Tribolium castaneum: one gene and its partners. The main gene of each other region encodes a partner of the protein of the gene in region 3 in a complex. Links are inferred from orthologs where the notes say so. Each region holds a gene or a part of one and is shown on either strand. Other genes may lie near its edges.

The links. The genes of interacting proteins can lie anywhere in the genome.
Region 1: mdlc (region 3) and SmD2 share a complex: the UniProt entries of both Homo sapiens proteins name them as parts of the minor spliceosome. The link is inferred for Tribolium castaneum from reciprocal best matches to the Homo sapiens genes RNF113A and SNRPD2.
Region 2: mdlc (region 3) and spliceosome-associated protein CWC27 homolog share a complex: the UniProt entries of both Homo sapiens proteins name them as parts of the minor spliceosome. The link is inferred for Tribolium castaneum from reciprocal best matches to the Homo sapiens genes RNF113A and CWC27.
Region 4: mdlc (region 3) and RING-type E3 ubiquitin-protein ligase PPIL2 share a complex: the UniProt entries of both Homo sapiens proteins name them as parts of the minor spliceosome. The link is inferred for Tribolium castaneum from reciprocal best matches to the Homo sapiens genes RNF113A and PPIL2.

Annotation. Positions count from the first base shown.
Region 1 is NC_087395.1:17,190,736-17,193,105, forward strand, and holds SmD2 (probable small nuclear ribonucleoprotein Sm D2), read right to left. Parts: upstream 1,083-2,370; 5' UTR 983-1,082; coding exon 626-982; 3' UTR 602-625; downstream 1-601. Other genes in the region: Vps51 (vacuolar protein sorting-associated protein 51 homolog), read left to right, coding at 79-191, 237-345; serine-rich adhesin for platelets, read right to left, coding at 1,843-1,938. UniProt on the Homo sapiens protein: Plays a role in pre-mRNA splicing as a core component of the spliceosomal U1, U2, U4 and U5 small nuclear ribonucleoproteins (snRNPs), the building blocks of the spliceosome.
Region 2 is NC_087396.1:19,898,795-19,902,557, forward strand, and holds spliceosome-associated protein CWC27 homolog, read right to left. Parts: upstream 2,292-3,763; 5' UTR 2,188-2,291; coding exon 2,146-2,187; intron 2,096-2,145; coding exon 1,554-2,095; intron 1,508-1,553; coding exon 1,398-1,507; intron 1,345-1,397; coding exon 1,131-1,344; intron 1,083-1,130; coding exon 641-1,082; 3' UTR 602-640; downstream 1-601. Other genes in the region: transmembrane protein 209, read right to left, coding at 28-165, 214-227; uncharacterized protein LOC658443, read left to right, coding at 3,249-3,303. UniProt on the Homo sapiens protein: As part of the spliceosome, plays a role in pre-mRNA splicing. Probable inactive PPIase with no peptidyl-prolyl cis-trans isomerase activity. As a component of the minor spliceosome, involved in the splicing of U12-type introns in pre-mRNAs.
Region 3 is NC_087396.1:11,857,694-11,860,994, reverse strand, and holds mdlc (E3 ubiquitin-protein ligase RNF113A), read right to left. Parts: upstream 1,904-3,301; 5' UTR 1,882-1,903; coding exon 1,764-1,881; intron 1,672-1,763; coding exon 1,457-1,671; intron 1,402-1,456; coding exon 929-1,401; intron 886-928; coding exon 708-885; 3' UTR 664-707; downstream 1-663. Other genes in the region: probable chitinase 2, read right to left, coding at 311-389; vih (ubiquitin-conjugating enzyme E2 C), read left to right, coding at 2,212-2,315, 2,368-2,788; Syx16 (syntaxin-16), read right to left, coding at 2,978-3,301. UniProt on the Homo sapiens protein: Required for pre-mRNA splicing as component of the spliceosome. As a component of the minor spliceosome, involved in the splicing of U12-type introns in pre-mRNAs. E3 ubiquitin-protein ligase that catalyzes the transfer of ubiquitin onto target proteins.
Region 4 is NC_087395.1:15,994,565-15,999,080, reverse strand, and holds the start of RING-type E3 ubiquitin-protein ligase PPIL2, read right to left. Parts: upstream 2,902-4,516; 5' UTR 2,787-2,901; coding exon 2,755-2,786; intron 2,701-2,754; coding exon 1,743-2,700; intron 1,703-1,742; coding exon 1,551-1,702; intron 386-1,550; coding exon 196-385; intron 148-195; coding exon 8-147; intron 1-7. Other genes in the region: Ubc2 (ubiquitin-conjugating enzyme E2-24 kDa), read left to right, coding at 3,627-4,089. UniProt on the Homo sapiens protein: Has a ubiquitin-protein ligase activity acting as an E3 ubiquitin protein ligase or as an ubiquitin-ubiquitin ligase promoting elongation of ubiquitin chains on substrates.

The sequences.
Region 1 (2,370 bases), on a different chromosome or scaffold from region 3:
TAATTTACAGCAGAGGCTAGTTTATTAAGGCATCATTTTGTGGAGGGTTGAAGCATTTAATCAAAAAATAATTTCTAGACGTTCATGGAGTGCGTACGTCTGAAGACTTTTAGTAAATTTGGCCTCCAACAAATTCAAGTGGACACGCATTACTTGCAGTTGTATTTGTGGCGATTTGTTGCGGATGAAAAGTACGTCACGAATTTGAATTTAGTGAAATTAATTGAATTTTCCAGCTTGGTTCATTTCCTCCTGGATGAGATTTTGGGATCAGCAGTCCACAGGTGCCTGGAACCGATTTTAATGGAACCAAGCGTTGTGGACATCATATGTGAAAGGGGTTAGGTCATGCAGCTTGCATAAGTTACAAATATTTATTATTCTTTTGTATTATCTTGTTTAAATAAAAAGGAGAAATTTTATCACATTTTGTTGTATTATTTTTATAGATAAATGTTAAAAAACCGTTCAATCTTTCATTTGCAACGACATGAATGTGATATTTCCACAGTATCACGTTCGCGGTATCAATCAACCGCAGAACAGAAGGACCACACGAGTGAAGTGATAGGTAAGTGAATTTCCTCAATAAACACTAAACTGAAGATACAAATTTTATTCCTAATTAACCACTAGCCGTAGCTAGGGGGTTCCTTACAACTATAATAACCGCATCGCCTCGCAGAAACATTTTCGAAATGAACCGATCCTTATTTACCGGCTTGGCTTTCTTCTTCCCCTTTCCAGGCCGGGGCAGCTCTGTCCACATTTCCTTCACATTCTCCAACACTATGTTGCAGTGCCGATCGAACGCCTTCACCCGCCCCAGCAATTTCTTGTTGTTTCGGCAGTTTATCAGCACCTGAGTGTTGTTCTTCACCGACTGAGTGAGCACCGAAAGGGGGCCCGTGTTGAACTCTTCCTCCTCGCGAGCCTGAAGCTCCTCGGCCGTCATTTCAGACTTGGGTTTCGTTAAAGCCATTCTGACTCGGTTTTTGCACTTAAAACAACACTTTTTCCGGCACAAAAATAGTTAGGTTAGGAATTTGAGCGTTTTGGATGCGTTTGGGGAATTTTGCAATGCGCATGCGCAAACTGGGTTTAATACTATGGCGGCAGATTCAAACATTTAAAGTGAAGAAAACAAACTTCGAATTAAATCAACAATTATTCTTCTCACATTTAAAGTTACATTAAGATTACTCTTTTGAATAATTAATTAAGAGTTTTAACATACTCAAAAACCACGATCTAAAAACTAATTACAAAATCGAGCAAATAAACCAATTTATAATCCATTGAGATGAAGACGTTAAATATAAGAGCAACAAGCTATTAATGAATCAGATAGGGGAATGCACCGTTTATTATAATTTAACTAGAAAATGTAATAAATATTGCAAATACGAGTATTGCAGTGCATTTTTCCAACGAAGGGAGTTTAATTCCCAGCAATTTGTTAGCCCCAGAATCGAAAATTAAATAATTACGATAAACAATAATCACTCTTTATTTATAGTAAGTATAACAATAAGAGATAACCAGTGCAAGTAATTATTCCAGCAGCGTGTTTATTTAAGTATACAAGCAATGCCAACGCAAATAATAATAGAATAATCATTAAAATGCAGTGAGGAGCCGATAAACCACCCCGTCCCGCTATATAAATTAAATACTTGAAGAAACGCACCAGAAGAAAGCCTCTTGTCCACCCGGTATTAAGTAGTTGCGCCGAAGGTGATGTTTTTGAAATCTCCTCGGTCTGGCTGCTTTATACCGCATGGATGAAAATCACCAAAAAAAGTCTGTTTTCTTGTCACACGTTGTCAGATTTAATAATTCTTAATTCGACTTCCTCATTTGCGGCGTTTCCTGTCGCCGCCCGTCTAAGGTCCCGCATTTGAGGCTTCGTTTTTCATGAGTTCGGTCTTCGTGTGCCTACCTTAATTCAATTAATCAATTGACCAGATGAATGGAATAAAGTTCATATGTTTGACATCGACGATGAACATATTTAAATCTCGTTAGGGGCCACTTCGGACTAAATAGGATAATAGCCGATGCTTACGGCTGCTTGCTGAATGCCTCTTGTGTCGAGATACACGCGCTGTATTCAATGATATTGTTTGTGTTGGGCAATTTTCTATTTTTGACGCAAGTGTTTATAAGAGTGGACTTTTGCTCAGGTAATTTTTGGGGAAATGTAGAGTAGTTCTATGTAGAGGAGTTTGATTTGGAAATGATTTTCCGGGCGTTTATACGCGAAAATTTTCCAAGCACTTGCTATTAGTGTTAATTTTGTAATGTTTTAGAGAGTAAAGGGGTACCAATCATGCAATCAAACCAATCAACGGCGGCATTACTACACAT
Region 2 (3,763 bases), about 8.0 Mb from region 3:
AAGAAGGTTAAGTGAGCAGTTTGTTACATATCATAAAGAAGGACTGCAAGTATAAGGAGGTTCACGGAGCCCCAGATGAAGCTTTTACGCACAGTTCGCCGTGTTTTATTCACGGAAAGGCTCCGTTCTAGTGCAAAAGAGTTGTTTAAAACGTTACGATTTGGTCTAAAAATAATCAGCTGTTTTTCTTAATACTGATGGTTTTTTACTTACGTGCACACACTCATGCTTCTCACTATTGTCTATTCACGTACACAAAAGTTTCATTAATTTTTCATACTAGTTTAACATCAAACACCGGTCCCACAAAATTAAAAACGTAACCTCAATTCCGAAAACGCGCGCATCTGCTCATATAATCCTACGCGCATAGAGTCTTATAATATGTAACAACTAAAATAATAATTTAATTAATTAATAATAATTTATTAATTTAACACAAACTATAGTAGAGTCATTAATAATACTAATGTGATTGTTATTAAAGCGAGTGCTAGAATGGTAAAATGTAGGTAAAAAACTCGAACTTTACGTTTATTTGAAGTTTTTGCTCTTTGGAGCCTTTGCTACACCAGGATAAGGCGGGAAAAAAAAGGTCGCATAAAATTACAAATCTTTATTTTTAATATAGCAAACAACACTATTTCTTGAACTTCTCCACGGTTTCTCCACGTCGTCGTTTATTCAAAGCGTTTCTAGGATCGTAAATTTCAAACCAATCGTCATCTTTTCTATTGGCGTCTTTTGCCAAGACTGGGTTTTTGTCCTGGAAGCACAGTCTGTGCTTCAACCACGCTTGTTCTTCCTCATTGTCTTCTTCATTCTCTTCCCCGTCTTTCATTGACTGTATCTTCTTTTTGAACTTTTCCAACAAATTCAAAGTGAACTGTTCTCTCCCAGCTCCCTTTTTAGGTAATGCGTCTTTTTTATTTTTGTATTTATCGAACTCGTCTTTGTACTCTTGTATTGTCTTGTCTTCTTGGACCTTCTTCTCGGTTGCAATTATGTCCTCTTCCTTCTTTTTCAACTTATTTTTATGGTATTCCTTTTTAACGTTCTGGATTTCTTTTTGGATCTCCTCACTGTAAATAAATTAATCGAAAATAGAAAAATAATTAATAGTCACTCACAATTGTTTTTTCTTTTTCTCGCGCCTCTCTTCCTCTAGGAATGACTCATATGTATCTATCGGTTCCGCCGTTGTTGTGGAAGTTGGTACAGGTTTTTTGTGTTCTCTTTTTAGTTTCTTTCTGATGCTCTCTAACTGTTCTTCTGGATTAACTTCTTCCACGTCATCATTCTCCTCATCTACGTCCTCCGTTTTAGAGCTCAATTTGGGATCATCTTCAATTAAATTTAATTAAAACATTTCCACACCAATTATTTGAACTGTGTACCTAACACATCGTGTGTGGATTTGCCTTTGCCCACAAACTTTTCATTGACCCTCGTTGACTCTTCCTCATCTTCCTCAGCCTCTTCCCCAAACGACAATAACTTAAAATTCCTACAACAATGATTTTACAACAAATTACACAAAATATTTGACTGACTTGACTCCTGGCTTTTTCTCTTTCTTTTTCTTCTCCTTCACCTCAACCTGTCTAAGCCTGGGTTGGATGTCGGCAAATGGATTGTTCAAAACTTCCGTTTTAATGATTTTGTGAGGGTAGATCGGCCTTTCGTCCCTTATTAACCCATCCTCAAGCTTGAGCATATTAAAAATCGTGTCTCCGGTAATTTTCCCAAAAATCGTGTGTTTGTCTTGCAATTCGGGAGTCGCCCCCAGGGTGAAGAAAAACTGAGACCCGTTGTCGTCCTTGCCCCCGTTGGCCATCGCAAGCAACCCTCTTCGCGTAAAGCGGAGTCTTTGGTGAAACTCATCTTTGAAGGGCTCTCCATAGATTGACTCTCCGCCTGTACCGTCACCATTTGGGTCACCCCCTTGGGCTATAAAGCCCTTAACAACCCTGTGGAAGATAGTGTTGTCGTAATAGCCCTCAAGGCACAATTGTATGAAGTTGCGGCAGGTTTTTGGCGTTTCTTTTGCCCACAATTCGACGTCTATGTCACCAACTGTTGTTTTCAACAACACCTGAGACGAAAAATTTGATTGTAGTGTTCGTAAGACGAACGATTAAATACCTTTCCCGAAGTTGGGGGCTCCAAAATATAAACACTACTCATTTTTAAAACTTTAGAATGTTTATTATATTTTGACAAGTGTCAAAGAATGAGGTTAAGCTACGAAGTTTGGTTGTGTTTAAAGTGCCAAGCTTCGCCACCTTAGTCACAATTTAAAATTTGGTTTTTCAAATTTTGTTCTTAAAAAAAATACAAATTCAAAGTCATGGTTTTGTGTATGAATTGAGTTCAGTTTTTTTCAAATACTTCACTGTTTTAATTGTTTCATAACAATTTTTTTTTCAATAGGATAAATAAGGAAATAAACGAAGGAGCGCCAGATGCTATTATTATCTTTTTATTTTAAGATTTGAATAAATACGTATAATAGTAAGAATTGCGCGACAATAAAGAATTAAAAAAACAATGAGGTCAAATTTAAATTTTCTGGAATTGGACTTGAACTTTCCCCTTTATCGTTAGTTTTCCACATGGTGACAGTGAAAAATAATCGGAAAGTGAAAACTAAAACAGATTAGGCAGTAACTAATTGTTGTTTATTTTGTGTTATACTTATGATATCAATATTGTCTGTCTATCGCAGACTTATCTAAATCAAACGTTCTCCAGATTAGAACTAAACGCTTGTTGAATTAAATATATTGTCAAACTGTGTTAGCTTAAAAGTGAACTCGAAATTCAAGTACTTGTGTCCAACTAAAATTAGAATTAGTTCTCGACTAAAAGCGGGGAGAATCACCATTGAGCCACAGCGCGCGTTTCACGCAAGATAAAGAAATCCAATGATAAAAGTTTACAGAAAATTCTCACAGATAAGTGTTGGTATTATAAATATGAGTATACACCTGTCTGCGAGGACTTCCTAAACGTGTGAATATTATGTTATTGTTGTTTGGTCGCGGAGAGATATGTTGGAGTCTGGAACTTTAGTTGAAGGTAAATATAGCTGATTTATTTGCCCAAATGTTTAGAGAATCGGCTCAAATTGTTATCAATTTAATTAACATAATATAAACAATTTCGAAAATTTGTTATTGTTATAATTGGGTCAGAACATGCAATGAACTTGGACTGTAAAGAGCGTTTTTGTGAGTGTGTTTGCAATGGAAGTATGTGGCACAAGTGCGATACAAATGAAAATTTTTACGGTTTTACAAGGTAATGCGCGAATTTTTTCGGCGGAATTATTCTCCGGACTTTGGCTTGACAGGTTGGCATTATTTCAAGAGAATTATTTTATTGTGCGTTTTAAAATTAAACTCTTTTCTCATAGCATTGTCTTCGGACGAGTTATCAGTCTTATCGCCCAATTAACATGCATATAATTAAACTCATTCTCATCAAACACTATTTTGTTCAATATAAAGTATTTCTTGGAGAGAATTAAAATCGTTTTGTAGCATGTTTGAAATGAAATTTATTTTTTTATTGTACATATTTTACGGTGTTTAATTGTTTGTATTTACGGCTTTTTGTTTTATTTACGACAACGTAATATTTATTTTTTAATAATTCTGGTGGCATGTGGCAAGATGTTAATAGAATTTCAGGGTCAGTTTGAATTTATTAACCAAATAACCAAAATAAAAAACTAAAATACTACTGTGGTAGGTACTAT
Region 3 (3,301 bases):
GAACCAGTTATTAAAATAAAAAGATCAACTGGCATTTTTGCGATAAATTGAAAGTGCTGGTAAGAAAAATAAACAGGACGCCGCAATTAATAAATTAATGCAAAACGAGCCGGTGAGTGTAGATATTGAGGTCCTCATTATACAGTTTTGAAGGTTTTAGCGAAATATCATCGTTTCACCGTACGGTTTTTATTTAACTGTTGTGTCACATAAAAATCTTATTAACATAATGCATTACCACACAATACTGTGATAACTCGGTGATTAGAAAAACAATTAACGGTGATTAGGAACCAATTGGATTCCTTACCAGTAAGGGCCTTAACTTCATCCATGAAAGTCACTACGAAAATCACAAAAACAGCACAAACATTTTTTAGTGATACCATCTTGGTATTCTCGCAACTTTTGCACAAATGAGAGATGAACTTTATATTTCTTGTACAATATATATTACAGTTATAATGGCAAGGTAGCAGCTTTCTCTTTCGCGCGCGCGTTTTTGGTACTTTTGAGACAGAGAAAGATACAATGAATGTGTCCAGTTGGGGGTTACCCGCTTGACTGTTACTATACCTTTCACTCAGAAGCCGCACCTCACTAAGAAGTAGCGTCTTCTCTGTCTCACTCGCCTCTTCACGTGTGGGATTGGAATAAAACCAGTTCAATTTTTTATTTGTTTATTTATTACACAATTTACAAAAACATTAATCGGAATCCGAATCTGAGTCATTCTTTTTCTTAGGATTATCCTCTCGATTCAGCCGCGCTATGAGTTTCCGCGCGGGGTTGAAAACGCCACTCGTTTGCGTGTTGCAGACGAAGCACCTCGTCGTCTTCTTGTACCTCTCGAGGGCGCACTTCTCGCAAAAGTAGTGTTTGCACCTAAAATTAACTGTAATAAAGACTCGTAAAAGGTGCCTCCTACTTTGTGACAATCGGGTCCACGAAGCTGTCCCTGCAAACGACGCATTTGAACGGCAAATCCTCTTCGTCCGAGTCAATCTCGTATTGTTTATCCTCGTCGCTTTCTTGCCCATATTTGCCTTCCGCCCATTCCCGCTCAAGCTGCCAGCCGTGTTTGTAGTCACTCCTGTCGTGCAAAAATTTACAACTGTCCCCGAAACCGCAAAAGCCTGTTTCTTTGTAGTCCTTGCAAATGTCGGGTTGGTAGTCCCACCGGACGGTGGCACGCAGGTTTGCGGGGGCTCTGATGGGGCCCTTCCTGACCATTCCCGAACTGGCGTTGCCCGCAGCCGTGTCTTTGGGCTTGTAGTACTGTGCGTAGTTGTTGATGCCTCTGTAGACTTTATCGTCTTCCTTGCCCTCAAGATTTTTATTAATTTCTAGCCGCTTCTCGAAAATGGCTTGGGCGTCACGATCGCGCTCAGTTTCAAACTCCTTTAATTAAATAATTATTGATTGGATAATACTAGTGAGTGGTTAAGTGGCTTACAAGAGTCGCCGTCGCTCCCTGATCTTGAGGTCCCTCAGGCATAGCGGACCGTTTGGACTTGTAACTAACCATAATTTCCTCCTCACTGCTTGAGTAGTTCTGCTGCTCATGTTCTTTTTGTTTGGCTTTGCTTGTGGTTTGGAAGTTGGGGTTTGCTTTTCCCCGACGCCGGTTCGCCCGCTTCACCGCAGATTCGTCCTCACTGTTGGACTTTTCTGAAGAAATCGCAAACAAACATAACCTTTAAAACACGAAAACTAAGTCTACAACAACAGTGAAGGTTAATTCACGGATTTGGGGTACCCACCTCCTTCCGAACTGGATTTCTGGCGCTTCCGCGCCCCTTTATTTTTTATATTCCGTTTTTTAAATATAAAAGTGCAACTTTCATCAAGTCCTGTTTTAACGTCACGCGGATCATCCATCTTTGACAAGTGTCAAGTGTCAGTGCTGACGCCAAACAAAATATCAAAAATTTCAAAACTCAATAACGCCTTTGTGGTGTTAGACTTGAGCCAAAGCAATTTAATCTAATTTGAATTTGTAATTACACGTTTTCCTAGTGCGTCATAATGGTAATAGCAAGTGCTTGAATGTTAATTGCTTTCGCGGTTCTGTTGGTAGTTATGGGTGACGGTTCCTGATTGGCTAAATTTGAAAGTGCGTTGACGTTTGGCATCCATCTGCATCGTAACGAATTTTCTACAAATCAATTAAAGTAGAATTAGGATAATTTATTAGTGAACGTGGTAAAAATGGCCCAAAATTTCAATCCGTTCGTGGAGCAAGTGCCCGAGAACGTAAAGCAGGCCGAAAGTTCCAAGAAGGTATCGAACGATAATCACGCAGTGACAAAAAGGTGGGCAAAAAGTGAGTCTAAATTGGGGTGCTAATCTTTGTTCGATTTGCAGATTGCACAAAGAGCTTATGACTTTGATGATGTCCGAAGACAAGAGCATCTCGGCGTTTCCCGAGGGCGACAACCTGTTCAAGTGGGTAGGTACCATAATGGGGCCCAAAGACACGGTTTATGAGAGTTTAAAATATAAACTAAGTTTACAATTCCCGAACTCGTACCCCTACGCGGCCCCCGTAGTAAAATTCATCACGCCTTGCTTTCACCCCAACGTCGACACCAGTGGGAACATCTGCTTAGATATTTTAAAAGAGAAGTGGTCGGCGCTTTATGACGTTAGAACAATTTTGTTATCAATTCAGGCCTTGTTAGGGGAACCAAACACGAGGAGTCCGCTGAACACGACGGCCGCCGACAAGTGGAAGAAAAAAGAAGAGTACAAAAAGCTGGTGTTAGAGTCGTACAAGGAAGTCTAAATTTGATCTCGCATTAGAAAAATTTCAGTTATTTAAGATGTCATTGTGTAATAATAGACTGCGTACATATTTGTGTTATATAATTTTTACTATTTCTCGTGTGTTATGATTGAATAAAACGATCAAGTTTCAATAATTTATTTACATAAATAAATATTTGGCTTAGCGAATAAAAATACGTTATCACGACTAGGATTTCACGATAATCAAGGTAAAAAATAAAATAATTGTGGTTACAGCCAATACAAGGATCGCGCACATCTTGCGGTTTTTCCGCTGATAAGCGTCTGCCTTTTGCAGCTGTTTGAAGCCTTCGTAGACCTGGATCTGCGTCTGTTCCACGTTGTAGTCAATTCTGTCCAGAACTGTCCCCTGGTCGGCGACCATCTGACTGAGATCTTTGAAAATTTCGTTCAAGTCAACAATGGACTTAACAATTGCGTTCACTTCTTGCTCCCGCTCTTGCGCGAACCGCGTGTTTTCCTCCTCCAGCAACAGCAGTTGTTGCTGGCT
Region 4 (4,516 bases), on a different chromosome or scaffold from region 3:
AAGGCACCTTTTCACGTTATCAGGATTGATATATTTCCCAACACCACTTTTATACACTTTTAGGGTTTTTTGAGCTTCCGCTTTACGTCTCTTCGCCTCTTCTTCCTCCTTCTGTCTTTTCAATTCCTCTTCGCGTTCTTTCGCCAACTAAAAATTGACCAAAAATAACACATTACAACAGAATAAGACAATCACTTGTTCGTCCGCCTCTTCAAATGGATTCACAAAAACTTGCGCCCTTATAAGCACAATATCCTCAATGGGCTTATCCTTATTGTCCACTTCAATTTTTTCCATTTCGTTTAAAGTCTCCATGCCACCAACTAAACGACCAAAAATCGTGTGCTTATTATTCAAGTGCTTGCACGACCTGTATGTTATGAAACTAAAAAAAAAAACAATTAAATTTTTGATTATTGCTCAGTGGCTGAGTTTGAAATTAAGTTGGCAAAACTGGACGTTGGCATTTCCCGTTATATCATGAAAAATACTTCAGTTTGTGTATTCATTAAATCATTAAAAGTTTGGAAAAAGTATGGGGAAAATTTACTCATTTTTTTTGTAAAAAATAAAGTTATGGCTACGGATATAAACAAGTTAGGATATGAAACGACATACAAATAAAACGTTCCTGTATTCGATAGTTCCGTTAATGTCGCCAGAGAGCGCAGATGTTCCATTACCGTCTAAATTTTCAGTGCAATGAATTTGAAAAAATGGTTGTGTTTGCATAACGGTTAACACATGACAAACAAAAAAATACAGGCAGATAGAGCATTAAATTCGCAATAGTAGGACATAAACGTAATGCAAAAATTTTATCTTAAACTATATTAAAATAAAAACTTTTACCAACTTGCACTCTGACTCATATTTTTGACAACTCTGCAAATACGGTTACAGATGCAAGAAAAATGTTAGAAAGATAATTGTAGACAATTAAATTTCCTACAAAAAAGTCCGCGGGACTATATCCCTATCTTCAACCATTTAGGCCCCAAAATCGCCCAAAGACGCTCAAGCGACGAATTTGCTTCATTTTGCCAGTGGTCAAGTATTGAAAAGTTAGTTTATAACCAAACCGTTTAAAATAGAAATATGGTGTCGTGGACTTTTTTGTAAAAAATTTAATTCTCTACAATTTTGTTCCTTACACTTTTTTTGTATCTTCAACCGTATTTGCAGCGTCTTGAAAAATACGAGACAAAGCGCAGATTTAAAAAAAAATCACAAACATTTTAGTCGTCAGTTTTTCTCAGACTTAAGGGTGCAAAGCTCAACATTGGTTGAATTTAAATTAATTTAAAACGATTTGGCGCCGAGACAGTATAACGCTCAAAGCGCCCTCATTTTTAGTCCACCGTACTATTTTTTAGGTTCAGAAAATCCTGCGATTTCATCTCCTAACTTATAGTCCTCCCTAGTTATGACATAAATGAGTTTTTTTGTCACTTTGACATTTCAAACGACAATTGACTATTAAAGTTAACATTTGACTGTTGCCATTGTTGCCAACTTAACTTCAAAGTCAAAGGCTGCGTAAAACATACAACTGTGACCCATTTGTGTTTTTCCCACTGTTGGCCATAGACAAGACCCCTCGCCCCACATGTTGCAAATTGGGCCTGAATTCATCAACGAATTTCTTCCCCCAAATGGATTCGCCCCCAGTCCCTGTCCCCGTCGGGTCGCCCCCTTGAACCTACATTTCGTTAGTTTTAGCCCCCATGATGGGTCCCTACCATAAAATTCCGAATAGATCTGTGAAATTTCGTCCCGTTGTAATAGCCACTCGCACAATGCCTGATAAAATTCTCCGAAGCACGTGGCACTTCGTCGCAGTAAATCTCCAAGTTGAGGGGCCCCAAGTTCGTGATTAACCTCACATAGCCTTTTTTCTTGACTCTGTCGTATCGCACCTCATCTTCGTGCTTCACTGCGGCTTCGTGCACCAATCGGGGGACCATCGCTGTTGAGGTGAAACTCGCAGCCACAGCCCCCGTTGAATAATGGGCAGCGTTGAACTTGTCCGCCTTTTCCTTAACTTCGACTTTGTTTATTTCAATTGTTGGCTCTTTGTAGTCCCGTTTTAGCTCCTCAAGGGTGTATTTTGTTTCAGGGTTCACGTTTTTCAAGTGGCCTTGAGGGTCGTTCTTCTCCTTGATTTCCTCCTCGGTTTCGATTCGTAAATTGTTTTTGACGTGGTGGAAGTTGGAAATGTTGAACTTATTTAAGTCTAGTGGGTCCTGTAACATGATGATATCCTTGCGTTCGAAGGGCGTATCACTGATTAAGTCCTTCCAGTTTTTGTTCTTAATATTAAGCTGTTCCACTGCTTCCATCAAGTACACGTTTCCAGTGGTGGCAATCGCCACAATGTGGGAGCTTTTGGTGAATTGTTTGTAAAGGACGGGGCACTCAAACTCGCCTTCTTCATTTTTGTGGAAATTCAACTGCACCAACGACTTGAAATCCAGAGGCTTTCCCGTGACTGGGTTTATCTTGAACTTCTTCAAAAAGGGGAGCAAAGGCTCCAAATCAAAAATATTGCCGTCCAAGTCACAGTAGGGTATTTCCCACGGTTGCAACGACAGGCAGCAGTGGTCAAACGGGAGCCGCTTAAAATAGTCCTCCTCCGCGGTCGTATAACCCGATTTTTTGCCCCCGTAAAGAGTGGTCCACTCTGTGTACGTCAAGTACCTTAAACAAAATTGCGTTAATTACGCACTTGAAACTGATTTTGGACAGGTCTACATTTTGTCTTTCTGGTGCTGGCGCTTCCCCATTTTGCTGTAACTTGTAAAGAGGTAAAATTAAAAAATATAAATCACACGACTTTGAGGTTAGCTCGCTGTCACAACAACAGGTAGACAACACGCGCACTCTTCATGCCCCTAGATGGGTGCAAAGGATTTTGAATTTTTTAAAAAATAATCCGCAATTTTTTGGTAATTTTCGGCGAGGTGTTGGCGACCGACGCCCTGGGGGTGTGGCACAGGGCGGTTTTGTTGCAAATAATCGAAATTCAGGTTTTTGGGCTGTGCAGTTTTTGCATATTTCCGGTAGTATGGTGGCAGGCCTGAGTGCTCAGCGAGTACGCCATGAGCCGATATTAGCAAAAAGGGAGTGAATTGTTTTCAGTTTTTAGTGCAAAAATTAATACAAGTAAGTGTAATTGCTGCTGAAATTTCCCGTTCAATGCCAGTTTCACGTTCCTGAAACTCGATTAGGGCCGTTTATGCGCGTATTAGCCGAGTAGGCGCTGAAAAAAATCGTCAACTTGTGCCGTAAATATCGCCCAATAAAAGCGATATCGTATCGAAATTACAGTAATTTCGGGTTCGGCGTTGTGTTTTAATCGATAATTATTGAATTCCGTCCCGTTTTTCCCAATTTAATGGAAATTTACGGCTTGTGTAATGCTTGAAATCAAAATGGCCGACTTAGCTGACAGGAATCAATTTTGGTTTTGAGAAGGGTCGCAATAATCGGTTACCTGTCCCGGCGATCGCAATCAGACATTGAACCCCATTGTTGCTTGAGGTGACTCTCTCGCACGGTCGCCCGTCAGCCCCCGGCGAGCGCCGGGAGGAACAAAGAGGTGATTTTTTGTTTTGTTTAGCTCGATGTCTTCAGCTGGGTCTAGCGGATCAGGCCGTGGTCGAGGCGGTCAAGCAGCAGTCGGTGATCAAAAGGAAACAAAAGAATCAAAGCCTAACCAGAAAATGTCAAAGGCCTTGGGCACATCAGCGAAAAGAATCCAAAAAGAACTAGCAGAAATCACGTTAGACCCGCCGCCGAACTGCAGTGCGGGCCCCAAAGGGGAGAACTTCTACGAGTGGGTGTCCACGATCCTGGGCCCCCCGGGGTCCGTCTACGAGGGCGGCGTCTTCTTCCTGGACATCCACTTCTCGCCAGAGTACCCCTTCAAGCCACCTAAAGTCACGTTCAGGACGAGGATCTACCACTGCAATATCAACAGTCAGGGCGTCATCTGTTTGGATATTTTGAAAGACAACTGGTCGCCCGCCCTCACCATCTCCAAGGTCCTCTTATCTATCTGCTCCCTACTCACCGACTGCAACCCAGGTGGGTCAATTTCTCTTAATCGTAATCGCAACAAGTAAAACAATGAATCGCATTTATTTTTAAAATTCTTGTTGGATTAAAAACGTGCCAAATAGTTCGTAGACCCGCAGCGAGCAGACAAATATTAGACCGGCGTAGTCACCGGCATGTTTTGAATATTTTTAAAGGCACGCGATGAATGTAAATTATGCTAATTTCCTGTGAAAGATTTTGATGAAAGTTGGAGAAATTTTTGCCAAATAAATTGCATCCTTGAACTCAAAAAGTTGCTGATTTAACATATCAATCAATGTGAAATACAGTTACGTCGATTAATGAAGCGGATCGAGGTTAATCGTTGTCTTTTTGTTGCCATTCGTACTGGTAATCCCTCTGAACAATATTAATTACGATTATCTTGCAAGCTATTTTTAGACTTGCGAATTTA